Macaca mulatta: one gene and its partners. The protein of the gene in region 3 purifies or fractionates together with the protein of the main gene of each other region. This does not show direct contact. Links are inferred from orthologs where the notes say so. Each region holds a gene or a part of one and is shown on either strand. Other genes may lie near its edges.

Region 1 (11,074 bases), on a different chromosome or scaffold from region 3:
ATCCACTTTGTAGGGAAAAACCCAGACAGTTCCCTCCTTCCAAATCCCCTTCTGCAACCAGCTCTCGGAGTGGAGACTCTGCCAGCTCTCACCACATCCTGGGGACTCCTGAAGCCTGGGCTGGAAGTTCTGCAACCTTGCCCCATGTCAATGGCACTTACTTTACCTGACTTCTTCCTTAACAGAGAGGTGTTAATTCTGCAGTATTGACCCAGGGTAGTGGGGTGATCACCCCTGGTAGGCACAGCTGAGCCCTAAAATAACTGAACCCAGACAGAGCAGGGGAGCCCTGGGGCAGAAGGAATGTGGGGAGAGGGGAAGAGGAGCTCCCTTCTACCAGGGAAAACTCTGAGGACACAAGTAGCTGGAGGAACAGGGAAGGGATTTCCTACAGTGTTCCCAAACAAAGAGAGCTGGCGGGGCTTTGGGGAGAGCTCCGTTTCCCTTCGTTTCATTCAGCAGTGGTCTCCTCCTCCCACAGATGTGGGAGGCAACAGGCCCCCAACTGGTTATCAGGCCCTCCAGCGTGAGGGCCTTTGTCTCCCCTTAGACATCTAGCTGGCAGGGCGAAGGGCCGACAAATCCTCCCTGACCCTCCCAGCTCTTTGTTATCTCAGAGGGAAGATTACATTTCTGTATGGGGAGGCAAGGTGCCAGGAGGCCTCGGGCAGGACAGAGACAGGCAGAGCTGCTGTCTGACCCCCATTGCCTGGATCAGCTCAGGGCTGCCCTAGGGACACTCCCTCCACTGGCCTGGGGCCCTTCCAGAAATGGGAGGGCTGCGTTTCAGAAAGGGGGAGGGGTACAGGAGTGGGACAGAAGGGGAGGTGGGCTGGAAGGATAAAAGCAGCCAACTCTCAATTATTCAGAAGCATGTCTGCAGTGCGTGGACAGCCCATGCCTTCGCTGAGTTTCTCACCTTCTCTGTTCAGCTGCCATCAGCTCTTTCCCTGAGAAGTGGAGAAGGGAACCCTGGCAAGTTGGCCACTTGCTTTCATTTTGGCTTCTTGATGAATCTATAGAGGATTTTTCAGCAGCAGACCCATGTCCCTCAACACCAAACAAGCATTTAGATCATTCTCTTTCTGTTTAAATCAAGAACACATTCTTTAGCCTTTTCTTCGAGGTTCAAGATACTCCTACAATGGTTCTAAACCATAAGAAAAAGGGGCTTGATTTAAAACCCCTTGTTCTGGGCCAGGCTCATGCCTGTAATCCAAGCACTTTGGGAGGCCAAGGTGGGCAGATTACCTGAGGTCAGGAGTTTGAGACCAACCTGGCCAACATGGTGAAACCCTGTCTCTACTAAAAATACAAAAATCAGCTGGGCATGGTGGCAGGCGTCTGTAGTCCCAGCTACTCGGGAGGCTGAGGCAGGAGAGTTGCTTGAGCCCAGGAGGCGGAGGTGAGCCGAGTGAGCTGAGATCATGCCATTGTACTCCAGCCTGGATGAAAAGAGCAAGACTCCATCTCAGAAACAAAAACAAAAACCTTGTTTGAGAAGAATTACGGAGAGGAAGGGCGATACACACTCCTTTAGGAACGAAGTAGAAAAATAGTAGCTGGGTGTTAACATTAAATGCTGGATTTTTTTCATGGCTTGTTTTCCCAATCATATTTCCTCAAATTGTATTTCCTCCTCTGGTAAGCCAGGTGGGTTATGCTTAGCAAGTCCATCAACCACAAATATACATGGAAAACCTCCTGAGTGGAATTGGTCAGACGCCTTAGATGAGATCCTTGCCCTAAAGCAGTTTAGAAGCCAGTTAGAAAGCAGAGTAAGGAAAACTATTAACAAAGCTATGGTTAGTATCAACTCAGTGGATAGTCAGAAAGTGAGCAGGGGATCCAGCAACTGACAAAGCTGGGATGGGCAGGGAAGGCCTCTTGGGGGTAGGGTGTGAGTTTGGCCTTACAAGCCTGTGATGAGTATTAATTAAAATGCAGGAGGCCTAATGGGTGGGCAGCTTATTTAGGAGTATAAACCAAACCTGACCAGGAGCTGAAGGGTTAAATGGTGGCTTGTAGGGGAAAACTCTATAAACAGTGGCTGAAGTTCATTTATTCAACAAAGATATGAGTTCTTGTTTCTCTTTTTTTTTTTTTGAGACGGAGTCTCGCTCTGCCGCCCAGGCTGGAGTGCAGTGGCCGGATCTCAGCTCACTGCAAGCTCCGACTCCCGGGTTCACGCCATTCTCCTGCCTCAGCCTCCTGAGTAGCTGGGACTACAGGCGCCCGCCACCGCGCCCGGCTAGTTTTTTGTATTTTTTAGTAGAGACGGGGTTTCACCGTGTTAGCCAGGATGGTCTCGATCTCCTGACCTCGTGATCCGCCCATCTCGGCCTCCCAAAGTGCTGGGATTACAGGCTTGAGCCACCGCGCCCGGCTCTCATTTTTTGTTTTATATTATTTTGTTTTGAGACAGGGTCTTACTCTGTCACCCAGGCTGGAGTGTAGTGGCTGATTATAGCTCACTGCAGCCTCAAACTCCTAGGCTCAAGCCATCCTCCTTCTTCAGCCTCCACCTCCAGCTAATTTTTAAAAATATTTTGTAGAGACAAGGGCTCACTTTGTTTCCCAGTCTGGTCTTGAACTTCTGGCTTCAAGTGATCCTCCTGCTTTGGCCACCCCAGGTGCTGGGATTACAGGCGGGAGCTGTAATTTAGTTGTTTATTTATTCATTTGTTCAACAAATACTTATTGAATATTTGCTCTTTGGCCAGTCAAGGAATTTTATGAGTGTCTACTATGTGAATAACACCGTGTTGGCCACTAGTCTGTCACCTACTGGTGGATTAGAAAAATAACGCGAGGACCGTTTTCTTTTTTCTTTTTTTTGAGACAGAGTCTTCTCTGTTGCCAGGCTGGGGTACAGTGGCACGATCTCGGCTCACTGCAACCTCCGCCTCCCGGGTTCAAGCGATTCCCCTGCCTCAGCCTCCCCAGTAGCTGGGATTACAGGCGAGCGCCACCATGCCTGGCTAATTTCTTTGTATTTTAGTAGAGGCGGGGTTTCACCTTGTTGGCAAGGATAGTCTTGATCTCCTGACCTCGTGATCCACCTGCCTCAGCTTCCCAAAGTGCTGCAATTACAGGTGTGAGCCACCGCCCCCCTCCCCCAACTCTTTTCTTAAATTAGCCAGGGAGGCGTGGGTGGGGTGGGTGAGGAGTTGGGTGGGGGTAACTCATTCAGTATTCAAACTTCTACAAGTTTTGGGGATGAGGTGAACAGGCCCTGCCACTAACTTACATAGTGACTTCTATTTGTGTAGTATTTTTGGTCCACGGAGAGCTATCATTTTATTTGATTCTTACGATCATCTTGTGAAGGAGTATCAACAGATACTGCTGTTTTGATTTTATCAGATACAAGATTTGTCGTACATCAAACTTCACAAATGATGGACAGAATGGAGGAATCCTTCAGACCTAGTGCTGCCTACTTCCCACCCCAACGGTGGCCTCAGCCTGGGCTTTCACATCACAGGCCCCACGGAGACTTGGAAAAAATACAGGCTTTTGGCTCCTTCTTGGGACAGCCTGATTCCTCATGTCTGAGCAGGCCCATGAATTTGTATTTTTCAGACGTTCCCTGGAGGACCCGTGTCCATCTGGATTAGGAAACCACTACATTATACCACCCCGCGGCAAGACTCAGGGGGAAGAATTTAGCCACTTTCCTGAGTTCCACAGTACTGGAGGGTGTTCTGAGTGGGCTGTGATTAATTTCCAAACCAACCACACCTCTCCCCTCAACTCCCACTTACTCTTTGCTTCCTAGACGTTCACTTCAGGCTGGAGACTTCTGAAGACCAACAACATTGCTGTAGAATTTACAGGGTCCAGTTCCCGGTGGAGCACAAAACCTAAATTATGTGGCTGGGGAAAGCGGAGATCCAATGGAAGGGTGTGAGGAGGGGCTGACCTTCTCATAATAAAACCAGCTTGTATTTACTAGGTGTTAACTATGCGCCAGGCCCTCGTTGACCTCTCGACTCTATACGAAAAAGCACTATTATCCCCCTTTCACAGATGGGAAAACCGAGATTTAGAACGCGAAAATCATTCCCCAAGGTGCACAGACTCCAAAGTCCACGCTACCAGGTACAATCTCAAGGCTGCGGCGTCTCTTCACCTGTCCCCCACACCCCCCCAAACTGCAGCTATGTCTAGGGCCTGACATTCCGGCGCCCTCTGGGACGCGCTCAGATGCAGGGGCGCAAGCGCCAAAGGAGACCAGGCTGCAGGAAGAGAAGGGCAGAGCGCCGGACAGCTCGGCCCGCTCGGCCGGCTCCCCCTCCTCTGGGGCCGCGGCTGGAGAACTACAAGGCCCAGCAGGCAGCGGCAGGGGGCGGAGGCGGAGGAGGGACCAGCGCCGGTGGGAGTGAGAGGGCGAGCCCTCGCGCCTCGCCGGCGCACAGCGCTCGGAGCGCTCCTTCGGCCACAGGCGCGGCGTCCTCGGCGGCGGGCGGCAGTGAGCGGGAGCCGGGACGCTGGTGCAGCCGTAGCGCGCGGAGGAACCCGGGCTGTGCCGGCAGCAGGGCCACGTCCGGACGGGACCGAGACTCCGCGTAGCGCATTGCGGCGACCTCGCCTTCCCCGGCCGCGAGCGCGCAGCTGCTCGAAAAGCCGCGGAACCCGAGGACTTTCTCCCGTCCGAGCTCGGGGCGCCCCACAGGGCGCACGGTACCCGTGCTGCAGTCGGGCACGCCGCGGCGCCGGGGCCTCCGCGGAACGATGGAGCCCGGTCTGCAAGGAGCGTGAGACGCCGCCGCCGCGGTCTGGAAAAGAGGGGCACAAGGTCTGGAGACCCCGGGCGGCGGACGGGAGCCCTCCCCCCGCCCCGCCTCCGGGGCATCAGCTCCGGCTCCATTGTTCCCGCCCGGGCTGGAGGCGCCGAGCACCGAGCGCCGCCGGGAGTCGAGCGCCGGCCGCGGAGCTCTCGCGACCCCGCCAGGACCCGAAAAGAGCCCGGGGGCGGCGGGCCGGAGCCGGGGACGCGGGCACACGCCCGCTCGCGCAAGCCACGGCGGACTTTCCCGAGGCGGAACCTCCACGCCGAGCGAGGTAAGAGTCGCGGCGCCCCCGGATCCGGGGCTGGCTTGGCGTCCCGAGCGGCCCCCGGCGCCGGAGCCTCCCGGCTGCGCGCTTTGCCCGCCGCAGCCCAGCCGGGACCGGCGCCTCCCTCCGCTCGCCGCCCGCCCCCTCCACCTCCCGGCTCCCTCCCGGGCGATCCGCGCCCCCCTTGGGTCTCTCCTCCCTTCCCTCCGCCCGCGTCTCCTTCTGCGCCCCCTCCCTACGCTCGTCCCGCCGCTCTTCCCGCTGCCCAACTTTTCCGCCAACTCGCGCTCGGGAGCTGGCGAGGCGGCGGCGGCTCCTCGGTGAGTCCTGGGAAGGACAGGCCCGGGGCGAAAGCGGCGAGGCCCGCGGTTTCCTGGACTGGGGAGGAGGGCGGGAGTGGGCGGCGAGGTGGGGTGCGTTGTGTGTGTGTTGTGTGTGTGTTGCATTCCACTCCATCTCTTTTTGGTCCCCTTTTGGGGATTCACCCCCAATTCAGCAGGTAGCTTTGGGCTCAACGCTAAAAATCCAGGACATTCCTCAGTCCTTTTCCATCCCCGCTAAACCTGGGGTCCGGGTTGTGGGCGAATGGAGTAGGGGATGAACTGCAGAGGACGTGGAGGGCTAGGTTAGCTTCTCTTGGAATAGGCTTTAAGGAGGTGTCGTCACCAAATGGCTGAATCTGCTTGAGCTGAGAGCGAAAAACGACTCCGCTTTCCAGAAGGGGTGATCTTATGACTTGGACGGTCTCTGAGAGGGTCGGAAGTTTGGGGAACGGGAGGACGACCCACAGTCGTTAAGCCGAGGTATGGGACGGGGGCGGGAGGGCCGTTCCGTCCCAATCTCGTTCCTGGAGGTGGGGGAAGGGATGAGGTTTTTGTCCGGTGCGGTTCACTCGGCAGCGATGCGTAGGCTTCTCTGGCCCAGACCCCTCTGCACCCCGCTTCCCCTCCCGTTATGTTTAGGGTTGGGAGAAAAGGGAGGCTACGACCCATGTTTGCAGAGGAATTTGTGGACCTTGTAGATGGGGTTCATATAGAACACACGCCCCCTATGAAGCAGCCAGACACTTTTTTGGTGGTGGTGGGGCGGGGGGTGTGAAGCGTGTTTCTTGTTCTGGTCCCAGAAGCTATCAACCCGTTTGAAAAACATTACCACGATGTCTTTCTCCCCCAGCCCTCCCCCACCCCCATTTTCCAGATGTAACAGCCGCATCTGGTTCCGTTTCACCCCACACGGGTACACCGCAGCCGCGTTATTAACTTCCCTCTTCCTCCCCTCCCCCTCCCCCAAATTGAAACTCGGATTCTTCAACTCGTCTTGACCACCTCCCTCCTTAACATTTCTGGAGACATGGAGATGCGGCGTTGAGAAAAGAAAGTTCCCTTGGATCCCGAGTTATCGAAGATCTCACTAAGTTAGTTGTTCGCCGCCGCTAGTGGGTGGCGGCGGTCGGGGTGCTTTCTGGATTGCGCAGAAAAGAGGCATCTTGGGAGATGGGTCCAAGGTTTTAGGGGGTGGCATTCGCGAACGGTTCATCCGCTAGACTAGGGGAGGCTCTTTGGCTGTGCGTCTGGCCAGAACTGGCCTTGACGATGGAAGTTTCTGGAACCAAAGCGTTGCTTTCTCTCCCTTGTGTTATAGCTGGAGCTGCGAGAGCGCCTGCCCTGCCCGGAGCCCGCGGTCCCCTCTCGGCCGCCCCTCGGTGGCGTCACGCGCCCCTCCCGGAGCGAGCCCGGTGCGCTGGGCCGGGGGCGTGGGCGACTGCTGCCAGAGGCGCTCCCTGTGTGTTTTTAAGGACTGATTTGGGACGCATCCCCCGGAAACTAAAGTGGGGCGTTTTACCATTTAAGTAACGGCTACAGGTTTGAAAGCGGGGGGTTGGATTGTCCAGTTGTGTTTGGTAATAGTCTTTGAGGCAGGAAAGCGCCTTGTGGTCCAAAGTTGCGGGAGGGTGGAGAGAGTCAGTCTCTCTCACCCTCTTCTTTCCAGCCTCTCTCAGATTGAAAACACTTCTCTGGTTTCCTTCTTTGGGCGGTAGTTTTGGAGGCTGTAATGAAATCGCACTTTCTCTAGACGTGGTAATTAAGGTGACTGTTTCCTCCGCAGATGTGCCCTACCCTTTGCACCTCCGGACCAGGGCTTTTTTTGGAATACTATCTAGCCTTGAGACTGTTTAGCAGAAAGTGGCCATTTTCCTCCCTTGGCCCGGGCTCCCGGTTTCCTCCCTGAGGCTTGTTTAAAAGCGAAGTAGCAGGGCCCCGTGGGACGCGCCTTGGTCTGGTTAATCACCCCCATCCCCGGGTCATCCACCTTCCTCTCAGTGACCGAGGTTCAGCAGCCTCTGCTATTGCCGTCCCGTCTGTGCCCAGGGCCTGCCTCCCTAATGACTTGTTTACATATCCTACCCCCAGTGGGTTAGGAGAAGCTCCGGGGCTGCCCCGACCCTCCGAGTGCAGGGTGTTTGGGGACCGGGAGGCTGCTGGGGCCTGACTCCAGCTGGGAGGGTTATGAACTGCATCAGTGACGAGCTCCTTGAAATATCTGTTGCATTTACTCTTAGTCATAGCTGAGTGTCAGCTTTTTAATGAGGTTCATCCAGATTGAGAGCCACTTGGACTTCACTGCTTGCTTTTCCAAACATGCCTGCAGAAATGCTCATTTTCCAGGTATTTTTCCCAGTACAGATTCGGGCCAGAGTGGGCACCGCTTGAACAATCTTAGGGTGCTTCTTTTCCTTGACCTCTGGCCATGGAGGATGTTAGAAAGTTCCATTAGGTGGCCCTTTGATAGCCAGGGAAGCAAAGGCTCAGGAAGAAATGGCGAAGTGTCCCCCACTCCCTAGGGGCAGAGGATTAGATACGTCGGGTGCATCCCTCAGGCTGGGCTAGCTTTATTCCTGGTGGACTCCAGAGGGCAAGAAAATTGAATTGAACACTGGGTAGGCAGACTCAAGCCTTAGAGACCAAGGAAAATCCATGGGTTTTTCTTTTAGTGGTGTGCTCTTTGTTTTCAGTATTGACCTGAAACAAGACTCCTAAAATGGGAGATTTGCTGGTGTGAACTTGGGGGTTTAGCAGCGGGCTTCTCCAAAGTTTTTTTTCTTGCCTCCGTTTCTAAAGTGTCTTTTGTCAAAATGGCTGTTAGTTACAGAACGTCCTAGCAAAGTTTGAGCCTGTTGTTGCTGGAGGAAAAGGCATTAGAATTGATTCAAATGTCTTATTCTGAAAGGGCCTCACATCACTTGATGAATTTAATTTCCTCCTGGGAAATTTGTGTCTTGCATTTGTCTTCCCCAGAGCTTTGTAAAAGGCCTGAAAGCACCAGGGACTGGTAGGAGTCCAGATGCAGAGCTTTAGAGAAGATTCTGGTGTTCCCAGAGAGGATGAAATGTCAGACTTGGGCTAGGATATTTGTTTTTCCCCCTAAGGTTGCATCTACTTTAAACAGAAATTGCCTCCTCACCACCATTTCTCTCTCCCCTGCAATGAAAGAAACCATGTTTAGGGCCCTCTCTCCCATTTAATAGCACTCACCTGGGTGAACTATCCCAAGAATTTGGTGGGGTTCCACTCATAGTACATCCTGTCTTCAAGAGCAAGGTTTTCTAGATTATGTGCAGCAGTTGTGTTCGCCAGGCTGGTCTTGAACTCCTGACCTCAAGCGATCTGCTGGCTTCGGCCTCCCAAAATGCTGGGATTACAGGTGTGAGCCACCGTGCCTGGCCACTTATTGCTAATTTTTTATATGTCTTTTACTTCCAAGGACAGGTAGACTTTTTTTTTTTTTTAACAGAGACACAAAAAATAAGCATTTCTCTTGGACCAACTAAAATTTTGCAAGCTGAGCTAAGTAACTTTCTCCATGTTTATTAAGTACTTGCCCCCTGCCCTCTCAACATGTGAGTAGAGAATGCTCACTTTGGGGAAGAAATAAGTCTTACTCCCATCTGAAGGGAATAATGTTTTGGTATTACTTCCTTAATTCTGAAGAACCAAGTTGTCCAGAAATTTTCTCGGTACCCTTTGGACTACAGTTTGGCTGGTTAACAAGGGATACTAGCTAATTGCTTTTCTCTGATATTCTGAGCCTCTTTTTCTGGAGGAGTATCTGTATCAGTTGCTTTTCATCAGCTCTTTTTTTTCCTTCATTCACTTACTCATCCAGTTAACGAACATGTTGGCATCTCCTGTGTACATACTAGGTGCAGAGAGTGTTAGCAAAGGTTAGGGAGGCACAGACCCTGCTCTGAAGGAGCCTGCAGTTTCATGGGGAGAGAAGAGAATGAAGAACATAAATAATAATCATATCATGTGGCCTAAGCACCATGTGAGAGGGGCTAGTAATGTGGTTTGCGAATTTGGAGGAATAAAATCCTCCAGCTAGAAGAGGCCCAAGAAAGTCTTATGGAAGAGACAGCTTCTTAAGGTGGGGTTCAGAGAAAAGGGAAGGCCTGGCCTGTTGCAGAACAAGGAAGGGCAAAGAAGAAAGTCTTGCACAGAGGCATGGAGGTTGCTTCGAGCTGTGGTGCCCTATAGAAATAGAACATGAGGCCGTGCACGGTGGCTCATGCCTGTAATCCCAGCACTGTGGGAGGCCGAGGCAGGCGGATCACGAGGTCAGGAGATCGTAATCATCCTGGCTAACATGGTGAAACCCCGTCTCTACTAAAAATGCAAAAAATTAGCTGGGCATGGCGGCGGGCGCCTGTAGTCCCAGCTACTTGGGAGGCTGAGGCAGGAGAATGGCGTGAACCCGGGAGGTGGAGCTTGCAGTGAGCGGAGATCGCGCCACCGGGCTCCAGTCTGGGCGACTGAGCGAGACTCCGTCTCAAAAAAAAAAAAAAAAAGAAATAGAACATGAGCAGCTGGGCGAAGTGGCTCATGCCTGTAATCCCAGTACTTTGGGAGGCCAAGGCAGGCGGATTGGTTGAGCCCATGAGATGAAGATGAGCCTGGGCAACATGGTGAGACCCTGTCTCTACCAAAAAATACACAAATTAGATGAGTGTGCTCATGTTGTCTGGTAGTCCCAGCTGTTCAGGAGGCTGAGGTGGGAGGATCACTCGAGCCTAGGAGGCAGAGGCTGCAATAAGCTGTGATTGCACCACTGCACTCCCACCCGGGGGACAGAGGAAGACCCTGTTTAAAAAAAAAAAAAACAGCCAGGCACAGTGGCTCATGCCTGTAATCCCAGCCCTTTGGGAGGCCAAGGCGGGTGGATCACCTGAGGTCAGGAGTTCAAGACCAGCATGGCCAACATGGTGAAACTCTGTCTCAAAAATAAAAAAATTAGCCGGGCTTGGTGGCTCATGTCTGTAATCCCAGCTACTTGGGAGGAAGAAGAATTGTTTGAACCCGGGAGGCAGAGGTTCAGCCGAGATTGCGCCACGCAACCCCAGCCTGAGTGACAGAGCAAGACTCCATCTCAAGGAAAACAAGAAAGGAAGAAAGAAATATAACATTATAACATGAGCTATGTGTACTTTCAGATTTTCTAGAAGCCACATTGGAAATTTAAGTTAAAAGAAAGAAACAGGTAATTTTTTTTTTTTTTTTTTTTTTTTGAGACAGAGTCTTGCTCTGTTGCCAGGCTGGAGTACAGTGGCGCAATCTCTGCTCATTGCAACCTCTGCCTCCCGGGTTCAGCGATTCTCCTGCCTCAGCCTCCCGAGTAGCTGGGACTACAGGCGCGTGCCACCACGCCCAGCTAATTTTTGTATTTTGAGTAGAGATGGGGTTTCACCATGTTGACCGGGATGGTGTCAACCTCTTGACCTCGTGATTCGCCCACCACAGCCTTCCAAAGTGCTGGGATTACAGGCGTGAGCCACCACACCTGGCCAAAATTTGTTTTTTAATTAACTTGTTTAGATTTTAATAATTTATTTAATATAACTATATTTCCAAAATATTATCATTTGGACATGTAATCAAATATAGAAATTATTGATGAGATACTTTACATTTTTTTCATAATAAGTTTTTAAGATGCGGTGTATACTTTTTACTTCTAG
Region 2 (9,994 bases), on a different chromosome or scaffold from region 3:
GAGTGCAGTGGTATCTCAGCTCACTGAAACCTCCACCTCCCAGGTTCAAGCGATTCTCCTGCCTCAACCTCTGGAGTAGCTGGGATTACAGGTGTGCGCCAGCACACCCAGCTAATTTTTGTATTTTTAGTAGAGACAGGGTTTTGCTGAGTTGGCCAGGCTGGTCTTGAACTCCTGGCCTCAAGTGATCCGCCCACCTTGACCTCCCAAAATGCTGGGATTACAGGTGTGAGCCACCATGCCCTGACTGTTTATATATATATATAAAAGCCCAGGTGCAGCGGTAATCCCAGCACTTTCAGAGGCCGAGGTGGACAGATCACAAGGTCAGGAGTTCGAGACCAGCCTGGTCAACATGGTGAAACCCCATCTCCACTAAAAATAGAAAAATTAGCCAGCGGGGTGGCTGGCGCCTGTAATCCCAGCTGCTCAGGAGGCTGAGACAGGAGACTCACTTAGGCCGGGAGGTAGAGGTTGCAGTGAGCTGAGATCGCGCCATTGCACTCCAACCTGGGCAACAGAGAAAGACTCCGATTCAAAAAAAAAAAATACAAAACTTAGCTGGGTGTGGTGGCTAGCACCTGTAATCTCAGCTACTAGGGAGGCTGAGGCAGGAGAATCGCTTGAACCCAGGAGGCAGAGGTTGCAGTGAGCCGAGATGGCACCATTGCACTCAAGTTTGGGTGACAGAGCAGGACTCCCTCTCAAAAAAAAAAAAAAAAGAAAAAGAAAAAGAAAAATAGCCTAAAGGGACACTAGAGTGGGTGGCGTGCTAGGATACCATAGCGCTACTGCAGGCAGGGAAAAGGCAGCAAGGACCTGAGCAGCCTCCATTTCCAGAGTTGCAAAATGGGAATAATGACACCAGTCCCCCAGTGAGAGGCTGGATAAGAAGGGGATGTGCAGGAACTGTTGGGGGCACACAGCCTGAAGAGTGTCTACGGTTCTCCAGTGCAGGCAAGAGGCAGTTACAAAAGACTGGAAAAAGCAGTTTAGAGCTTTGGGATCAGAAACACTTGGGTATGTAACTATAGGGCGGTTCCAAATGGCATCAGCGCAGGGCGTGGTGCCTCACGCCTGTAATCCCAGCACTTTGGGAGGCCAAGGCGGGCAGATCATTTGAGGTCAGGAGTTCGAGACCAGCCTGGCCAACATGGTGAAACCCTGTCTCTCCTAAAACAAACAAACGAACAAAAAACTGGGCCGGGCGCGGTGACTCATGTCTGTAATTCCAGCACTTTAGCAGGCCGAGGAGGGTGGATCACCTGAGGTCAAGAGTTCGAGACCAGCCTGACTAACATGGTGAAACCCTGTCTCTACTAAGAACACAAAATTAGCCGGGTGCGGTGGCACGCGCCTGTAGTCCCAACTACTTGGGAGGCTGAGGCAGAAGAATCGTTTGAACCCCGGAGGCGGAGGTTGCAGTGAGCCGAGATCGCGCCATTGCACTCCAGCCTGGGCAACAAGAGTGAAAAAAAACAACAAATGCCATCAGCATGTGAGCGAGAAAATGTCAACTATTTCATACATCAGCCACACCCACTCCCATCTCCAGGATGGTTGCCCCACCGCTTTCTCTTTCTTTTGTAAACTGAAAAGCGCTCTGCAGTCTAAGATAGTCCATTAGAGTAAATGAAGCCGTGAAGTCCGGCGGACATCGGGAGTGGGGAAGCCCGGCATTCCGGGAGACCGGGCCGGGGAAGGAGGGTCTGTACCGGTTCTCCCAGACTCTGCCCGGGGCGCGAGCTCCGGAGCTGCCGTACGAGGTCAAAACGTAGCAATGGCGGAGGCCTACAGGGGGCGCCCGGACGCCACGCTCGGCCCCGCCCCAACGCCACGCTCGGCCCCGCCACGCTCCAGAGGCCCCGCCCCGTCACGTGCCCGCTGAGCGCGTCACACCCGGAAGCAGGGGCCCGAGCGGAGCAGGCAGCTATGAGCGGGGAGCCGGGGCAGACGTCCGTAGCGCCCCCTCCCGAGGAGGTGGAGCCGGGGAGTGGGGTCCGCATCATGGTGGAGTACTGGTGAGCGGTCCCGGCTGGAGGACCCCTACCCTGGTCCCGTGGGCCGGACGGAGGTGGGTCCACGGGAGGCCCCACCCCCGAGTCCCCAGCCCAGCCCCATTTCTTCTCCCCAGTGAACCCTGCGGCTTCGAGGCGACCTACCTGGAGCTGGCCAGTGCTGTGAAGGAGCAGTATCCGGGCATCGAGATCGAGTCGCGCTTGGGGGGCACAGGTGAGGCTCATGGAACACCTGCTGAGTCAGTCTGTACTCTAAATCCCAGCTCTCCCGCTTTCTAGTTCTGACATTGGCTGCTTTATGTAAAGTGCCTGCAGTGCCTGACACATGGTAAAATGTCCAGCCAACATGAGTTCCCTTCCATATGTCAGGGGGTTCACAGAGGCCTGCGGGGGAAAAACCTATTAGACTGCAATCGTGTAGGGTTGGAGGGGAGGGAGTCTTTCATTGTTGCCAGGGGCACACAGGCGGGGCCTCCCTCAGGTTCCCTGGAGTTGACCCAGGGTTGGGGAATGGCTTAAGGAGCTACAAATGGGTCTCCAGTGGGAGTGGTGGGGGACCCCTTTGAAGGAACTCCTGATTTCTGCCTATGTTCTCAGTGTACCATTTATTTATCTGTTGATTTCTTACCAGGTGCCTTTGAGATAGAGATAAATGGACAGCTGGTGTTCTCCAAGCTGGAGAATGGGGGCTTTCCCTATGAGAAAGATGTGAGTATTTGCAGTGTTGGGAGGACCTCTGGGTCATCCTACCCCAACAGTGCATCATCCTGTCATTCCACATCTCTGTCCTCTAGCTCATTGAGGCCATCCGAAGAGCCAGTAAAGGAGAACCCCTAGAAAAGATCACCAACAGCCGTCCTCCCTGCATCATCCTGTGACTGCACAGGATTCTGGGTTCCTGCTCTGTTCTGGGGTCCAAGCCTTGGTCTCCCTTTGGTCCTGCTGGGAGCTCCCCCTGCCTCTTTCCCTTACTTAGCTCCTTAGCAAAGAGACCCTGGCCTCCACTTTGCCCTTTTGGGTACGAGGAAGGAATAAGATTCCATGGCCTTGGGGGCAGGAGAGAGACACTCTCCACGGACACTTCCTCAGCCACCTTATACCCCCTTCCCAGGATAAGTGCCCACAAAAGCCTGGTCCACTCTTCACCTCGGTAATACCTGTCTGATGCCACAGTAGATTTTATTTATTTTCCCCAACCCAGGGCAATGTCAGCCATTGGCAGTAAAGTGGCACTACAAACACTAATGCTAACTAGTGTGTGTTTTTATATGTCCAATCTGGGAATGCGGGGGGCACAGAAGTCCGGCCGGCCCAGCCTTTGTACCGCCAGGGTGGCTGTGCTGGCTTGGGTGGGCTTTCTGGACAGCTACTCCTTAGGTCAGTGAGCTCCTCTGGCATAGCCAAGGCAAGGAAAATGAGTCCCACAGTAGACCCTGCCTCGTCTTTCGCCCACTCAACCGCCACTCTCCTGACTCACAAGGAGGAAATAACCCCATTCTGGTGAGTGGCCTTAGGAATTCGTTCTAAGAAAGAATGATCTGGTTGTTAAAGGGCTCTCAGATCCGAATCCAGCTTCCCGATCCCCCCCAACCCTGAAGCTAGAGAACTGGATGTCAGGCTCCTCATCCAAGCTTTCTGAAGATTCCTGGTCACTCCCTCCAGGAAAAGAGGAGTTGAGTGTAAGGTGAGCAGGAAGGGATGGTGCAGAGCTACCCCCAGACATAGGCCGGTGCCTAACTGTTCTCCAAAATATATTTGCAAATGGAGAAAGTGGGTGTGGAGAAGGACCCCCCACATCTGCCTCCCCATACAACACCCATTCTCCCCCTGGGTCTTTATTTCATCTTTAAAAAACAAAACAAAGTAAAAACTAAACAGAAAAGCACTCTGTACAAGGCCTGGATACTGACACCATTGCTGCTCCTTCCTCATGGGGGGTAGTACTAGGTCTCAGGGACAATCTCTGAATGGGTCGCTCTTGTTCTTAGACACTCCCTTAGGGCCACTTCCCCTCTCAGGCCAGCTTCCCTAAGGCTTTCAGTATGCAGGATCTGGAAGGAAAGGGCCAGGCTGGGCTGTGGCATCCACTGGACCCTAGAGTCTCATTGGGCAGGGCCCCAGAATCCACCAAGACTCCCCAGTGCTGTTCCTCTTCCAACTAGGCTGGACCCCTTCCAGCCATCTGGGAACTCAAGCAGGAAGTTTCCTTAGGACAGGTTCCGGGCATGGCAGATTCCTCTGGAAGTGGTCGGAGGGCCCGCCCGCCTCTTGATGCCAGTGGAAGTCAGGCCTTCCCTGCTCCCTGAGGACACATCGGGGCTTCTGCGGACTTGGCCTTCTGGTTCACACTGGCATGTCCAGACCCAGGTACTCTGGGTTCTCTGCCGTAGGTGTCCCTTTGAAGGTGCTAGGTGGAGCCCCCCGCTCTGATGGGTCCTGGTCCCAGTAATAGAGGTTGTCGAAGGCTGGGCTGAAGGCAGGAGGAAGGTGGGGCTGAGGGGCAGCTCCTCCCCGGGGTGCCAAGTACTCGGGGTTCTCCACAGCACCCCCAAAGGCAAAAACGTCTTTGACAACCCCATTCTTCCCTGGGGAGAGAGTCTTGGGCCTTTCCAGAGTGGCACCAGTAGGTCGGGCAGGAGACAGAGGGCCCTCTTGGGGCGAAGGGGGCTGTGGCCGAACATCTGGCTGGTTCACATATTCTGAAAGGCCAAGAGAAGATGACCTATTAGGGGAAGGAACCCCGGTGTCGCTGCCACTCCCTCTGCCCCCACAGTGGACCCTGGGCTGAGGGTCCCCCCTACCCCGCCCATCAGTCTCTCCGCTTAGACTGGACTCCATACCGGGCTGGGGACTGCAGGTCAGGGGGGCAACGTAGCCGTCAGTCTCAGAGGGCAGGGGTACCGTGGGGTCCTCACTGTACCGCTGTAGAGGGCTGGGGTCATGTGCGGGGAGGCTTTGCAGCCCCTTGGCTGCCCCCATTCCTAGGTCACCATCAAATACATCAGAGCCAGTCCCTTCGGAGGGTGCCCGTGGAGACCTGGGGGCCTCCTCTTCAGAGGGCTCCAGCCCTAGCGTCAGGTCCCCACCGCCACTCTGGGGACAAGAAAGTAAGTCATGATGGGAGTCACTTAATGGATCTGGGATGGGGACTCCATGGGAAGTGACAGGGTCACAGGAGAAAAACAGGTCACCTTTGGGGTACGACACAATCACCGTGGAGAGAATGGGGTCACAGAGGTTGGAAGGCAGTAAGAATTTTTTGTAGGGATAATGGGGTCTCCTTGAGAGGTGACAGTTGAGGGAACATCAGAGAAAGGGACCCTAGTCCACCAGGGATGGAGGAGGTAAGCAGCCACACAGTGTGACCGAAGGCACTGACCCTGGTAGATGAGCTGCGGTGCCTGTGGTGGACCATGCCCCCAGTGCCCGGGGCAGGGTCTGGACAGAAGAAGCCCTGCTGGGGTACCAGATACTCCTCAGCATCCACCAGGTCCCCCATGTCATCGTCCTCCAGCAGTGAGCGGTAGAAGGTGCTGTCCAAGGGACTGGCTGGGCCCAAGTCCTCATTCTGCGGAGGAAGGAGAGGTGGGATGGTGGCCCCTCCCCAGCTCAGCATGCAGCCTTCCATGAAGGCTCATAGCAGGTGAGGGGCCTGACACACCGGACTCATCTCTCCTTCCCACCCTCTGCAGGAGGGTGCTCTTAGCCACAGGCAGGGATGGGGCACAGAGGCCCAGTACCTGGATGACCACAAAGCGCTGGGGGTCCCTGGCCATGCGGGAGAATTCCGACACCAACTCCCGGAATCTCGGCCGACATTCAGAGTCAATCATCCAACCTGGGGCAGGAGGGAGGCCAGCATCTAGCCCCGGCCCTGTGTGCCTGCTGCCTCCCCTCCCACTCCCGCTGCAGTCTGGTCTAGACAGTCCCAAGGGACAGCCCAAAGCCCTTGGTGGTAGAGAAGTAGTACCAGACTCTGGGGGCTTCAGCCAGAACCTTCGGGCATCTCTACTAGTTTCCCTTTTAATTTTTTTTTCTTTTTGTTTGCTTTTTTGTTTTTTTGAGATGAGGTTTCACTCTGTCGCCCAGGCTGGATTTCAGTGGTGCAATCATAGCTTACTGCCACCTTCAGCTGGGCTCAAGTGATCTTCCTGCCTCAGCCTCTCCCGAGTAGCTGGGACTACAGGCACACACCACCACACCCAGCGAATTTTTTTATTTTTTGTAGAGATAGGGTCTCACTGTGTTGCCCAGTCTGGTCTTGAACTCCTGGCTTCAAGGGATCTTCCCACCTCAGCCTCCCAAAGTACTGGGATTACAGGCATGAGCCACTGTGCCCAGCTTAATATTGTACATAAGGTTCTCTAGTTGTTCCTCAAGAGTGGCTTTGGACTTTGACTGTAAAAGGGATATGAGAAGGTTTTGAGGCTCCTAATATACCAGGGTTCCTGGGTCTACATACATCCTGGTCCCCTTTCATGCCCTTTGTGGGCTTCTCGACCCAGGACCTCCCACCCTCCTCCAGGCAGCCCGCACAGCTCAGCCACGCACATTTGACCATGATCATGTAGACATCAATGGTGCAGATGGGGGGCTGGGGCAGCCGCTCCCCCTTTTCCAGCAGGTCAGGGATCTCCCGGGCTGGGATCCCATCGTAAGGTTTGGCCCCAAAAGTCATCAGCTCCCACACAGTCACACCTAAGGCAGAGACAGGGTCAGGAGTGGGAGGGCCAGAGGTTCTGCCCAGGAGTCTGGCATCATGGCAGCAGGGGGGAGATGTGATGCCAGGAGACAGAATCTACCCAGTCTTTCCCTAATCCTGGGAAGTGCACAGACCCTGCAAGGTGGGGCACAGGCAGCCCCTTCCCTCCCTCCACATGCTGAGGTGGCCCCATAATTCTCCCCATCCCAGCTCTCATCCTCCCTCCAGCCATGACTCCTCACCCACCCCTCCCAACACTCCCCACCACACACCATAACTCCACACATCACTCTGGTGGGTGAACCGCCGTCGGAGAATGGACTCCAGCGCCATCCACTTGATGGGCACCTGGGAGGGCAGAAGAGGAAGTCCTCCAACTGTGTGTGGTGGGGAGGTGGCCACTCAGAGTTCTCCCAGGGGCCAGACCCCACTCCACCCGACTTCCTCTGCTCCTTCACCTAACCTTGCCCCCATCTGCATGGTACTCTGTCTCGTCAATGTCCAGCAGCCGAGCCAGCCCAAAGTCTGTAATTTTGACATGGTTGGGACTCTTGACCAGCACGTTCCGAGCAGCCAAGTCCCTGTGTACGAGCCGCACATCCTCCAGGTAGCTCATCCCCTGGAATGGGAAGCACCCAGGTAAACCTTCTGGGAGGGCCTGGCCCTGGTCATATGCCCAGGAAGAGTCCCCATCCTAGCCCCTTGTGGACATAGGGGCTTGCTCCAAAGGGACCCGCAAAGAGCCCAGGTGCCCTAAGTGCATACCTTGGCAATCTGCATACACCAGTTCAGCAGGTCCTGGGAGCCCAGGCGTCCGCGGTTTTCTCGGACATGGTCTAAGAGGCAGCCATAGGGCATAAGCTGTGTCACCAGCTGCACCGTGGATGTCAGGCAGATGCCCAGGAGGCGGGAGACATATGGGGAGCCCACACCAGCCATCACGTATGCTTCCTGGGGACAAGGGTACACTGAGAGGGTATGGGAGACCTCACACCCCCAAACACCACACAGCCTCCCAACCATCACACAGCCTCCCAACCACCACACACCCCCAAACACCACACAGCCTCCCAACCATCACACAGCCTCCCAACCACCACACACCCCCAAACACCACACACCCCCAAACACCACACAGCCTCGCAACCACCACACAGCCTCCCGACCATCACAAACCACAGCCGCGGCTCACGGCCTGTGAATGCCCAAAGTACCAGCCTGGCCAACATGGTGAAACCCCGTCTCTACTAAAAATACAAAAATTAGGCCGGGCACGGTGGCTCACGCCTGTAATCCCAGCACTTTGGGAGGCCGAGGCAGGCGGATCACGAGGTCAGGAGTTTGAGACCAGCTTGGCCAACATGGTGAAACCCCATCTCTACTAAAAATACAAAAATTAGCCGGGCGTGATGGCTCACACCTATAATCTCAGTTACTCAGGAGACTGAAGGAGGAGAATCGCTTTAACCTGGGAGGCCGAGCCAAGACCACGCCATTTCACTCCAGCCTGGGTGACAGAGCGAGACTCTATCTCAAAAAAAAAAAAAACAAAAAAAAACCAGGCAGGTGCTTGTAATTCCAGCTACTCAGGAGCCTAAGGCATGAAAATCGCTTGAGCCCAGGAGGTGGAGGTTGCAGTGAGCTGAGATCACGCCACTGCACTCCAGCCTGGGTGACAGAGCAAGGCTCCGTCTCCAAAAAAATAGTCTAGGTTTGCGGGAGTCATATCTCCCCAAACCCCAATGAAGAGACCAGAGCCCAGACCTGCAGCCATGGGGTCCTTCCTGTCAGCAGAAGAGGGTAGAGGGGCTTACATCTAAGATTTCTTTGTTGGCTTTGGGGGATGTGTTTTCCCTCAACACTTTGATGGCCACTGGAATTTTCACATTCTCCCCATCAGGGATCCAGATGCCCTGGGCAGAAAGAAGAGGATATGAGTGAGAAGAGCGTGGGCTGGATCCTACCTGCCTTCCAGGAGATCATTACTTGTGCTCCAAACATCCTTCCCCACCCTGGGGCTTGCTCCGGTTCCCTTCTGCTCCGCTGTAACTGCCCTCCCCCAAATACTGCCTCCGGCTCTTGCCCCTCCCATCGGAACTGCCGACCACACCCCTCCAGGCACCGCCCCCACCTTCTGGGGCCGCCCACCCCAGGACCTGGCCCTGACCTTGTAGACTGTGCCAAAAGCTCCAGATCCAAGCACCTTCACCTTCCTCAGCTCCGTCTCTTTCAGGATCCGCATCTGCGCCTGGTTGGGCATCGCTCCACTCGGTGTCAGTGGCTCCACCAGCTGGGGTGAGGGGGTGGTGGGTCAGTGCCGGGAGCCAGTGGAGACCCCACGCGGGCTGGCAGGCCTTCACCCCGCCTTACCTCCGTTTCCTGCAGCAGCCTCCGCATCGTGTACTTCCGGATCTTCTGCTGCCGTCGCTTGATGAGGATTCCAAAGACCACCCCCAAGACCACGACCAGCAGAATGCCCACCACAGCAGAGATGATGGACGTCAGAGGGCTGGGGGCGGAGCCAGGGTCAGGGATTGAGGGCTAGTTTGGGGTAGGAGGGACAAAGGGGGCCCACGGGGGACATGAAGAAGGTGTTTGGCATTCGGAAAGGGAAGTCGGAAGGGTGACCCACAGGCTTGGACCCTCTCCTACTCAAAACCTGCCTTGGCTCCCCACTGCCTCCACAATAAAGTCCAAACTCCTTGTAGGCAATCAGAGCCCTCTCCACATCTCCAGATTCTCTATACTTGGTTCTCTAGCCTTGGCTCTGCCTTAGAGCTCCAACACTTTATGGTGTAAAAATCACTAAGGATGCTGGGCACAGTGGCTCACGCCTGGAATCCCAGCACTTTGGGAGGCTGAGGCGGGTGGATCACAAGGTCAGGAGTTCGAGACCGGCCTGGCCAACATAGTGAAATCCCGTCTCTACTAAAAATACACACAAAAAAATGAGCTGGGCGTGGTGTGAGTGCCTGTAATCCCAGCTGCTTGGGAGACTGAGGCAGGAGAATCACTTGAACCCAGGAGACGGAGGTTGCAGTGAGCCGAGATTGCGCCACTGCACTACAGCCTGGGCAACAGTAAGAGACTCCATCTCAAAAAAAAAAAATCACTAAGGAGACTGTTAATACACATGTCCCTCAACACCATGGGGCCACATCCTGATAAACCAATTGTAAGTTGAAACTGAAAATGCATTTAAGACACCTAGCCTGGCCGGGTGCGGTGGCTCACGCCTGTAATCCCAGCTCTCAGGGAGGCAGAGGCGGGAGGA
Region 3 (10,406 bases):
GCAAGAAACCCAGGATTGGTTTTCATGGTTGTTTCTACCATCAGAGTCCAAGAATCATCTTCACACAACAACACAAATGGCTGGTAATGAGTTATTATTGTCTCATAGCATATGTTTTCTTGACAGCGTTGAATAATTTTGATTGACCTCTGGGATGTTATTAAAGCCTAAAGTTCCTTCTATTCTCACAAATGTTCATTATGACTTTAGAAGGATCATGAACTCTGGTATCTGTTTGTTTGCTTGTATGGCACCAATAAGCAGATTTCTTCTTTCTAATATATGGATTAGTATAGCCCAGGAGAAGGTTAATATAGAGACTATAAAACGGGAATAAGCTTTTTTTAATGACGTAGCAAAATTGTGACTCTGAAAGATTATTCATGTATATTCTAAAATTACCACAGTCATAAAAAGTCTTGGACTTTCATGAGGAAATAGCATAGCTAGATCTGAAAAAATATAGAAAATCTTCATCAATGGAACTATTCTTGGGGTAGACACTAATCATACGAAAAGGCAAATGCTCATTCCCTAAGATAGCCTGAATCTCATTTAAAATGTAGAAAACCCCGTTTTAGTAAAAAGACATTGTCTACAGTAACCACTGAGAAGAAGATGAAGTTTTTCATCTCCTTTTTTTATTCAAAAAGAAAAAGAATTTCTCAATATCTCAACCACAGTTCACTTTAGTTAACCCCTTTGATTGCCTAATAATGCCAAAAATGATTTCTCTGTTAATTGGCTCCACATTTTTGCTCTATGCTGAAGTAGTGTTGGGAACTGCAGTGTAGCTTCCATCTCTGAAGACAAAAAATGAATTAGCAAATTGTGAACACAATGAAATGACTGACACAGGTGTAGATTCCAAATTTTTCTGAAGGAGTCTTGACCAAAAAAATAAATAAATAAATAAATAAAGGCACGTATGAAACCTTTCCATTCTGTTCTTGACGGCTTGGCTTTAATGGCATATGCTTAATGAGTTAATAATAAACACATCTGAAAGCGTGGGGGAGTTTTCATTGGCCTTTGAAGACCTATTTTAGCTTTCTTAAGGAGAATATTCAGTTTTAAAGATCACAGTCACTTGTTTTGAGATTTATGTATTAGCTTCGGAGACCAGAACATAAGAATTTGGGGTATGCAAGTCAACTCCCTCACTTTCTTTTAAAAATTCGGGAAATCCATTATACCTTCTGTGCCTGATTTTCTTCCTTTGCAAGTGGGTTGCCTGGCATCCAGCTCAGCCACTAATGCAAGTCACCACAACAGGTACGTCTTCAAATACCATCTCAGCAGGCTGGGAGCCAAATGAAGAAAATGAAGATGAAAGAGACAGACACCTCAGTTTTTCTGGATCAGGCATTGATGATGATGAAGATTTTATCTCCAGCACCAGTAAGAATAATCAATTACAGTACAGCCATTTATGCAAGGCTTATTGATTAATCTGAGTGATACCTAATTGTATCTCTCTTGAGAAGTAGTTAATGTGAAAAATAGGTGAACCTGTGATCATACCTTAGTTATATCTTGATGAGATTATGGAAGAAGAAATAGAATGTTTTGAGAAGTGGGGAAAATATCTCATAAAATTTCTAATGTCTCAGGTTCTTCCTGTTTTATTTATCAATGAAGTCTACTGCTACAGATTGTCTTTGAATGATCAGGCTTTGTCAGAGGATGACATTAAAACAGTCCAAAAAATATTCATTGTGTACTTACTGTGCTAGGTGCTGGAAACACAAAGATGAAAAAAGCCAGAGCCTTTGCCTTTCAGAATCTCATGGTCTGTTGGAGCAATAGACTTGAAGAATGTGATTAGGAGGGTATTAATTAAAATTTGTAGGCCAGGCGCGGTGGCTCACGCCTGTAATACCAAAACTCTGGGAGGCCGAGGCGGGCAGATCATGAGGTCAGGAAATCGAGACCATCCTGGCTAACACAGTGAAACCCCGTCTCTACTAAGAAATACAAAAAATTAGCCCGGCGTAGTGGCAGGCGCCTGTAGTCCCAGCTACTTGGGAGGCTGAGGCAGGAGAATGGCGTGAATCAGGAAGGAGATAGCGCCACTGCATTCCAGCACTCTAGCCTGGGCAACAGAGCGAGACTCCATCTCAAAAAAAAAAAAAAAAAAAAAGTTGTAGAAGATCCTAAATTGAAGGCCCTTAAGGCTTAAATGATGGGAGCTGGAACTCAAGAATTATCTTAATCAAAACCCGACTAAGGTCAAAGGAACAAATCCAGAGTTTTAACAAATGAGCTGGACACCAAAGACCTTGAAGGGAAGGGCAAATGTCAGGTTAGCTTTAACAAGACATTACCACTTATTAAAAGCAAATAATGAAACCACTATTGGTACATAATAGTATCCAAATTTTTGACAATTATAAAACTTTTTGAGAACAAAGAGATGGAAATTGAGCTTTAAAGATGTCCTTAAAAAGTTAAAAACATGCAAAGGTTGGTCTAATAGTCTGCCAGATTACTGAGTTTTCCACACATACCTGTAATGACTTAAGATTTTGCTGAATAGAGCTGAGAATCCTGAACCTGACTCCATCACAGTTTTGCTTTTCCTTAGAAAAAAGGCTTTTGGGGTGCTATGTGAGCTCCCCCAATTCACTGAAGTTCTATCCATTCCATTAAAACCTGACAATTTAATCCTCAAACGGATAGCACACAGAGAAGAAAGGGTCCAGAAAAAAAAAAATAGCTTAGGCCTTGAAGGCATCTGAATATATAACATTGATATAACAAATACTCAAAAGGAACTAGAATTTTCTATCTAAACTTTTAAGTGATTTTTTTAGACCCAGCACCCCTCCAGAGCTTAATCTATGGAATAAGAAAATTATTTTTGGTAACTTCAGAACAAAAACCAAATAATCAAAAACACTGGAGTTTTACATTACACTGTCTCCTGTGTTCAGGATGTGGCCCAGCTTTGCAGGTAGGTCCATTAGTAAAGACGTGGTCTTGATATTGAAGAAATTAAATTCCCTTGGGGAGTAACCCAAAGATATCTACCTGCAAATGAATTGTATGGTCAGGCTTCAGGGAAAAACTTCCCATGGTGTTTTTTTGTTGTTGTTGTTGTTGTTGTTGTTTTTAATTTTTAAAATCTCTATGGCATATTTTCCAATTTCAGTTTACTTTTCTGCTTAGCACCTATGGACATAATTCAACATGATGCCCTCTTTCTTCTGGAGGGGTGCGATAACTGCTTGATAATAAGCACCTTTTCATGCTTGTTGAGAATGTGGTTAATGATTCTAAACTCGATTTTCATAACTTGTAAAATAGAGCTGACAGTATTATAGTTCTGAAAACAGTTTTGTGTTATTTGGGTTTCAAAATAAAATTTGAAACAATTAGGATGGATTTGCAAATAACCTTTCCACAAAACACATTGATTCAGATTTTGTCATGATCTTTCTGTTAGGTGCATCTCCCATTCCAGCCCTAACAGATTGGGTGACGATATCAGGGTGCTGGTGGATGTATGCCTCTTTCTTTCCATTGTGCTTCTGTGATGGTGGCTGGTTACCTGTGGTGTCTTATTTTCTTTCATTGGCTATGAATGGCTTGCTCGTGACATATTTTGTATTTGATGAGAATACCATAGTGTTTGATAAATATTCAGAAATGGACAGCTAAAACATATGGCTATTCTAGGTAGGTAATATTTTTCGGAATCATCTATAGGAAAGCTCTGGCTGCTCAGACATTTCTTTCCCCACTGAAATTACTAACAACATAAAGTGATTATCATGGTATAACTTTCAGTTATCTGCCTCTTCACCCTGAGGATCTACAAATAGCACACAGTGACTAAGTCCCTGGGCTTTCAAGTGCAGAGGGATACTACAGACTGCATGGATGGGCAAAATGGTGCCTTTGGTTATCCTCGGTGAAGGGCTGGTGTTTTCAAAGCTGTCCTTCCTACTGCTGCAGCTTCTTTGACTGTTTTATCTGGAAGATCTCATGTTCTGAACCCTAAGGTATTCTATGACAGAATGCAAAGGACACTGAGATGCTTACCAATATGGCTGAATTAAGCTGAAGGCATCCTCCGCTTTCCCTCCATTTCCATGCCGCCATCTATACAACCTGGTATAGATGATTCATTGCATAGTCTACAGAAACAAGACTATATGCGAGACAAGTGGCGAAGGCTCAAGAAATAACATTTTTCTAATTGCTTCAATCATCGTTATCACAGTTTCAACCACACCACGGGTTTTTGACCACACAAAACAGAACAAGGACTGGACCCAGTGGAACCCAAGCCATTCAAATCCGGAAGTGCTACTTCAGACAACCGCAAGGATAACTGGTAATGGGTTATGCATATTTAATGAAAGGTTTTTTTTCCCCTCAAAGCCTATGATGCTGCAAAGGTCAATCATCGGGACACAGTGGGAAATTTAGCTAGTATCTCATCAAGAAATTCTTAGTGGACTTTCATGAGGATACTTAATTCCATTTAGGAGTCATTTATCAATTATACCATGTGGGTATATTTTTATGTTGCTTCATTATAAAAATGAATATGTTTGAAGGATTTATGGTGCTGCCTTTGACAAACTGATCATAGTGGAATAATAAGGGAACATGAAGAAATTCCAAGCCCATTGATTTTCTCTTGAGACCAATTAGGTAAAGTCACTCAAAATTTTTGAGAGTGGATGCTCAGAGATAATACTTTGGCATAGAATTGTTAAATAGCATGCACTTTAATGGAAGAACAGAATCATTAAAGCTTGATTGATAACAAGTCACAGTGTATTTAACCATCATCACAGCAGATGTAGACAGAAATGGCACCACTGCTCATGAAGGAAACTGGCACCCGGAAGCACATCCTCCCCTCATTCACCATGAGCATCATGAGGAAGAAGAGACCCCACATTCTACAAGCACAAGTAAGCAAGATGGCGGTCGGCAGTTCTGGGTTAGATGAGTTAGTGAAGACATTCCAGCAATAGGGAAGATTTTGTTTAGAAATTGGCCACATCTTCTATTTCCACTTAGTAATTTATTTTATTCTCAGAGCCTGAAAATCTGCCAAACTTGCACACAAATTTTAAAAATTGGAAGGAAAATGATAACACTTCAGGTTGCCCAAAGACCAAAATGTTTTAAGAAGTAGATCTAGATACAATTTTTGTGTTAAAAGTTCCTAGAGGTTCCATTTGGGTAACTTGTGTGTGTTTATGGAAATGTGTGGCAAAGTGTGTTCTTTTGGTGCTTAGTAGTGAAATCTGGAAAGAAAGCTTGTCAAGTGAATTGATCTTTGGAATCCTTATTTTCTATGAAGATCTTTGATGAATATAGTTTCTTTTTTGCATTCTGTCCTTGACTGTTCTATAGTCCCTTGTACTCTTTAGAACAAAGTTGGTAGCTCGTATGGTCTGCATTTGAATTCTATCACTGCTTCTTTTTCTGTTTTTAAGCCCAAGGTAACTTGGGGAAGGCTTTGATGCTCTTACTGTTATTTCTACTATTATGAAAACTTGTCAGTTTTTCTAAAACAATCTCAAGTTGCAGCACTGGACTGTGAGAATAGGGGACCCCCTCACTCCCCAAACATAAGAAGTAAGTGCTTTTCTTCTTTTATCTGTCCCACTGAGATATGTCTATCTTATTTGGAATAAGAGTATTTATTTTGGAAAACAGCTTTTTAGCATTTTTAAAATGATGATTTGACTGTCATTCTCACAGCCCTAAATACACCTAATGCGGAAATGTGAGCTATAGCCACTTAAAAACCAAAGGGCTTTGGGAATCTATAGCTTGAGGTGTGTCTTCAGACAACAAAAGAAAAGTTTCAGGTACCAGCTAGGATAGAGGTTAGACGTTGTACTAAATATATCCAGCAGACCTTACATTCCATTACAAACCCCAGTAGATCTGATGTATGCATAAGGCTTACGGACTAAGTTAACAAAGAAGTCTAGGAAAAGAAAATACAGAGGAAGCATAAATCTCTTTGGAATAGGATTTTGTTCCAGTCCCTTAGAGCCCTAACTGTATATCTTAGAAATTGTTTTAGACAGTTTGCACTTAAAGACCAGAAAGCTACTTTAGAGACTTGGAAATAATGAGCCTATTGTCAAAAGGTGGTGCTTGGGGTGCATTAGGACTAGAGGGTAGGTGAAAATTCAGACAGAATGTAACTTGACAAAGAGAAGACAGTGAAAACTGTAACAATTCTCTTATGAATATTTGCGAAACTCAAAGGGATCTGATTGGTGACCTCTGGTCTTTATCAAATTAACATCACAACTTCTAGAAGAAAGTCAACCTTCATCTTTTACAATAGAAATCATATGTTTTGTGAACTCATTCCTATTTAGGCTGAAAACAATAAAGAGTTATGGGTACTTTAAAAACTCATTAAAGTAGTGATAGAAGGAGTATAGAGTCCTTCTATGCAGTCACACACATACACTTCCTTATTTCTTTTATTTAAACTTTGAGTAACATGGCAGTCTATGTTTGGGTCAATATTCCTTTTTATGTAATTACATTCAGTGGTTTTTCTAACTTCATTATTGGTTGGGAATTAGTGATTTAGTCAGTGGTAGGTAAAACTTAAGATTCTGGCTTTTTTCCCCTCCCCCTGGATAGCCAGTTAACCCAATAATGGCTTGGCCAATGTAAGGGTAAAATGAGGACTGTTCTATTTTTTAAATGTCATTGCCGTCACCAAATCACACATATCATTTTCTAAGATAATGAAATACAACCATTTTACAAGTTACAAAAAAAATACTCTGGCTTGGCAAGTTAATAGGCTCTCATTTTCTTGATAAAACAAAATTGCTTTAAGTTGCTATAGTTAAAAATGTTGGTGGCTTTCTGACTTTTCCTGAAGGCACCTTGATGGAATTTTATTCTGTTGATTTTGTCCTTTTTAAAATAATGGTTGAAATTTTAAGCCTGTCACACACTATTATTTATATAATGCCTCAAACTGGCTTGGATAGTTTTTGTCAACTGAATTAATTTTGTTAAAAAGTGATTTTAGCAATTTTAGGCGCCATATGAACATTGCCACATAATGTGTTAGTGAAATAGCATTCAAGCCATCCCAACACCTTTCCTGCTGGGCAAATCCACTGCTGGTGCATTTCCAGTGTGTGCAATTATGGGTTACATGACCACCATTTGAGACGGTCTCCTAATGCGCTGATCTTGTCAGTTGTTATACAGTATTTTCCTTTCATCAGAATGACTGGAGCGAAGAGGTTATTCTTTGAATGGTTTTCTAAGACAGGGTATGTGACGCCATACACTACAGTAAAATAAAAATAATGATAACTCATAGAACTCTGAGAATTCATCAGCTATGGTCTGCTTAGTCCTATGGTTTTGAACAAATCAAAACCTCTTTGGACCACAATGTTCCCATCTGAAAAATTAAATGTTTGGATCATTTTATTTCTAATATCCCTTTCAGAATATCAGTGGCCTGTTTCCTTGCTGCTTTTCTTTTCTACCTTCTGTTCCCATGTGTATCTGCCCTTAAAGTAGAAAGATACGTTGACAGCTATTGGCAAGGAAAATAGAAAATTATGTCTCCCAACTGATATTCTTCTCACAGTCCAGGCAATTCCTAGTAGTACAACTGAAGAAACAGCTACCCAGAAGGAACAGTGGTTTGGCAACAGATGGCATGAGGGGTATCTCCAAACACCCAGAGAAGACTCCCATTCGACAACAGGGACAGCTGGTAATGGGTGGTTTAACAAGTAAATTTGGATGGCAACTTCCTTTTGGGTTAAATGGTAGACATTGAGGACACTGAACAAAAGGACATTGGAGGAATTGTCACAAGATGTTAGGTTACTTAATAAATTATGCTGCAGTTAACACAGAGCCAAACCTTAAAGGCTCATAACAAGTCACCTGAACAGGAATGGATACAAGCCAGTTACGAATAAGAACAGGAAACACAGAGAACATGCCCTTGAACATGTCTCTTTCACACCGAGTTCTGGGCATTATCTAGTGAGATTGTAGCGGAGGCCCTGATAAAATATCCCCTTTTGTCGTACAAAGGAATCTACTCTAGAATATGGGTCCAGACTTTACAATGTGATTCTGCAAAGTCTGACTTGTGAGAAAGCATTTTGCTAGAACTCCAGTGTTTGAAGAAATAGAGCCAGACATTATGTGAAAAATGACACCTGTCTGATGTCATTTGGCCTTTTGGCCATGCCTGTTTGGTAATTTGTCCTTGAGTATAAACAAGCCATCTTCTCTATTCTTGAACTGTGAGATTGTGGAAATTGGAATCAAGTCTTATCATCATCTCTAAGTGATACCAGATGACTTGGCTCTGCAAGCTCCCATGCAGGATATTTTGTCTGTGTGACATAAGTATTGAAATGTGTCCTGCCTTATCAAGAATGTGAATTCCATATTCTCACTTGGTATCAGTGAGAAATATTCCCATATTTCTATTTGCAATATAGAAGATAATACGTCATGTACTTCTGGGGCATGGCAAGTTCTGAATGAATTCCTGGCAGAGCAATGGATTCTGTGACTGTCTATGTGGTGTGGTTGTTGCTAAGAGGATGCTGTTGCAATCTTTTCTACCTATACTTCCTCATTGGCTCAGAATGAAGCAAGGCATGTGCTGCTTTCTTATATGTCATTTATGCATATTCTCACTTGGTATCAGTGAGAAATATTCCCATATTTCTATTTACAATATAGAAGATAATGCGTCATGTACTTCTGGGGCATGGCAAGGTCTGAATGAATTCCTGGCAGAGCAATGGATTCTGTGACTGTCTATGTGGTGTGGTTGTTGCTAAGAGGATGCTGTTGCAATCTTTTCTACCTATACTTCTTCATTGGCTCAGAATGAAGCAAGGCATGTGCTGCTTTCTTATATGTCATTTATGCCATAAATCCCGTTGTCAGGTAATGCTTCTAACGGATTCCATTCATGCTTTTGAGATAAATGGCACTGACTTTCATATTGATCACATGGAAAGCTGTTACCTGATTCCTTTCCTGAGATCACTTCCAGCCTAATGTGCATTCAGCTGGAATATGGTTGTCTCAGAATAACATAATGCACTTGGGCTTTTACACTTCTGCCATTAGGGTACGGTGGCAGCATGGCACAGGTCAAGAACTACTCCTTCATCTTCCTATGATGTCTGTAACTCACCCTCTCTGCACTGCAGGAGTCGTTAATGCTTTTGTGTCCTCCAGTTCACATGCTGATTGCTAAGAAGAAAATGAGCATGAGTGAACCCAAACCTGCTGAAACATTTTGCGTTTATGCAACTTCCTTGCCCTCTATACAAGGAAGATGGTTTCATTGTCTTGTCTAGAGAATAAAGTCTTTTTAAACAATAAAATCAGTGTATTCCTGACCAAGCGTCCATTAACACTTTGACAATTGCTCCAACTGCATGGTCTCAGCAGCCTCAGCTCTTACCAGCCATCCAATGCAAGGAAGGACAACACCAAGCCCAGAGGACAGTTCCTGGACTGATTTCTTTGACTCAATCTCACATCCCATGGGACGAGGTCATCAAGCAGGAAGAAGGATGGGTAATAGCCTCTGAGATTTTTATATATTCTGTTTTTTGAAATCCACTGACTGCTGACTATTTTTCTAGAAATATGCCCTAGGTTTAGACCAAACTACTTTCCTGAAGGACTTGAGATTCTTCAAAAATTAGTTTTCTTGGTAGGAGTGATACACATATTCACCTGAATATGAAATTCCGAGCTGAAAGTAAAGAATTTAGCAGGAGAGTTGGCAAAAGAAAACATTTATTGTCAAAATATATCTGTGTGAGGCAGTAAGTAATAGATGTGAAATGAATGTTGCCAACAATAAACGCTAAAGAAATTCTGAGAACCCCTCCCCGCCCACCACAGCATCACAGAAAGGTGAATTGGATCTGGTTTATGAAAAATTAAAAAACCCTGGATAGTCAGAGAAAGGAAGTGGGTGGTGGGGGGTGGGGGGCAGTTTTCCTAAGAAGGAGACTCATTTAAGGAGAAATGTGAAGGAAGAAAAGCCAAGGAATGAATATGTCAAGTGAGTAGATCCATTTTTCACAAAGGAAGATGTGTTTGAATGGCTAGGGAGGGGCCATTATGTTGAGTGACTGAAGTACCACAGGCAGACCCAGCACACATGAGTTTGCACATGGCAGCTGGAGCTCTGAGGAGCTGGAGCTCTGAGATACGGGGGAAAACCAAGCCAGGCAAAGATCTTCAGAATCAATATTAAGTCTATGTACTGATGAAGAGAAAGAGATTCCATTAAATTAATGAACATGTCAAGGACAATACAATTGGCTTCAACTACACAATGGTATGATAACTCTTGAAGGACTCTACTTCTAAGAGGGAAGATG

The links.
Region 1: the proteins of CD44 (region 3) and FGFR1 purify together in Homo sapiens (affinity purification with mass spectrometry; 3 studies listed by BioGRID and IntAct, counting the BioPlex papers as one, with this or other methods). This does not show direct contact. The link is inferred for Macaca mulatta from reciprocal best matches to the Homo sapiens genes CD44 and FGFR1.
Region 2: the proteins of CD44 (region 3) and ERBB2 purify together in Homo sapiens (affinity purification with western blotting; 3 studies listed by BioGRID and IntAct, with this or other methods). This does not show direct contact. The link is inferred for Macaca mulatta from reciprocal best matches to the Homo sapiens genes CD44 and ERBB2.

What each region holds. Positions count from the first base shown.
Region 1 is NC_133413.1:40,407,403-40,418,476, reverse strand, and holds the start of FGFR1 (fibroblast growth factor receptor 1 precursor), read left to right. Parts: upstream 1-4,447; 5' UTR 4,448-5,067; exon of another isoform or gene 5,068-5,864; intron 5,865-6,349; exon of another isoform or gene 6,350-6,475; intron 6,476-11,074. UniProt on the Homo sapiens protein: Tyrosine-protein kinase that acts as a cell-surface receptor for fibroblast growth factors and plays an essential role in the regulation of embryonic development, cell proliferation, differentiation and migration.
Region 2 is NC_133421.1:64,077,010-64,087,003, reverse strand, and holds the end of ERBB2 (receptor tyrosine-protein kinase erbB-2), read right to left. Parts: intron 9,230-9,994; coding exon 9,091-9,229; intron 9,011-9,090; coding exon 8,888-9,010; intron 8,634-8,887; coding exon 8,535-8,633; intron 7,672-8,534; coding exon 7,486-7,671; intron 7,340-7,485; coding exon 7,184-7,339; intron 7,069-7,183; coding exon 6,993-7,068; intron 6,717-6,992; coding exon 6,570-6,716; coding exon of another isoform or gene 6,527-6,569; intron 5,925-6,526; coding exon of another isoform or gene 5,857-5,924; coding exon 5,759-5,856; exon of another isoform or gene 5,729-5,758; intron 5,619-5,728; exon of another isoform or gene 5,587-5,618; coding exon 5,398-5,586; intron 5,112-5,397; coding exon 4,859-5,111; intron 4,718-4,858; coding exon 4,362-4,717; 3' UTR 3,838-4,361; downstream 1-3,837. Other genes in the region: MIEN1 (migration and invasion enhancer 1), read left to right, coding at 1,933-2,021, 2,135-2,232, 2,650-2,855. UniProt on the Homo sapiens protein: Protein tyrosine kinase that is part of several cell surface receptor complexes, but that apparently needs a coreceptor for ligand binding. Essential component of a neuregulin-receptor complex, although neuregulins do not interact with it alone.
Region 3 is NC_133419.1:30,081,893-30,092,298, reverse strand, and holds part of CD44 (CD44 antigen), read left to right. Parts: coding exon 1-83; intron 84-1,275; coding exon 1,276-1,401; intron 1,402-4,228; coding exon 4,229-4,342; intron 4,343-4,811; coding exon 4,812-4,931; intron 4,932-7,615; coding exon 7,616-7,744; intron 7,745-9,456; coding exon 9,457-9,588; intron 9,589-10,406. UniProt on the Homo sapiens protein: Cell-surface receptor that plays a role in cell-cell interactions, cell adhesion and migration, helping them to sense and respond to changes in the tissue microenvironment.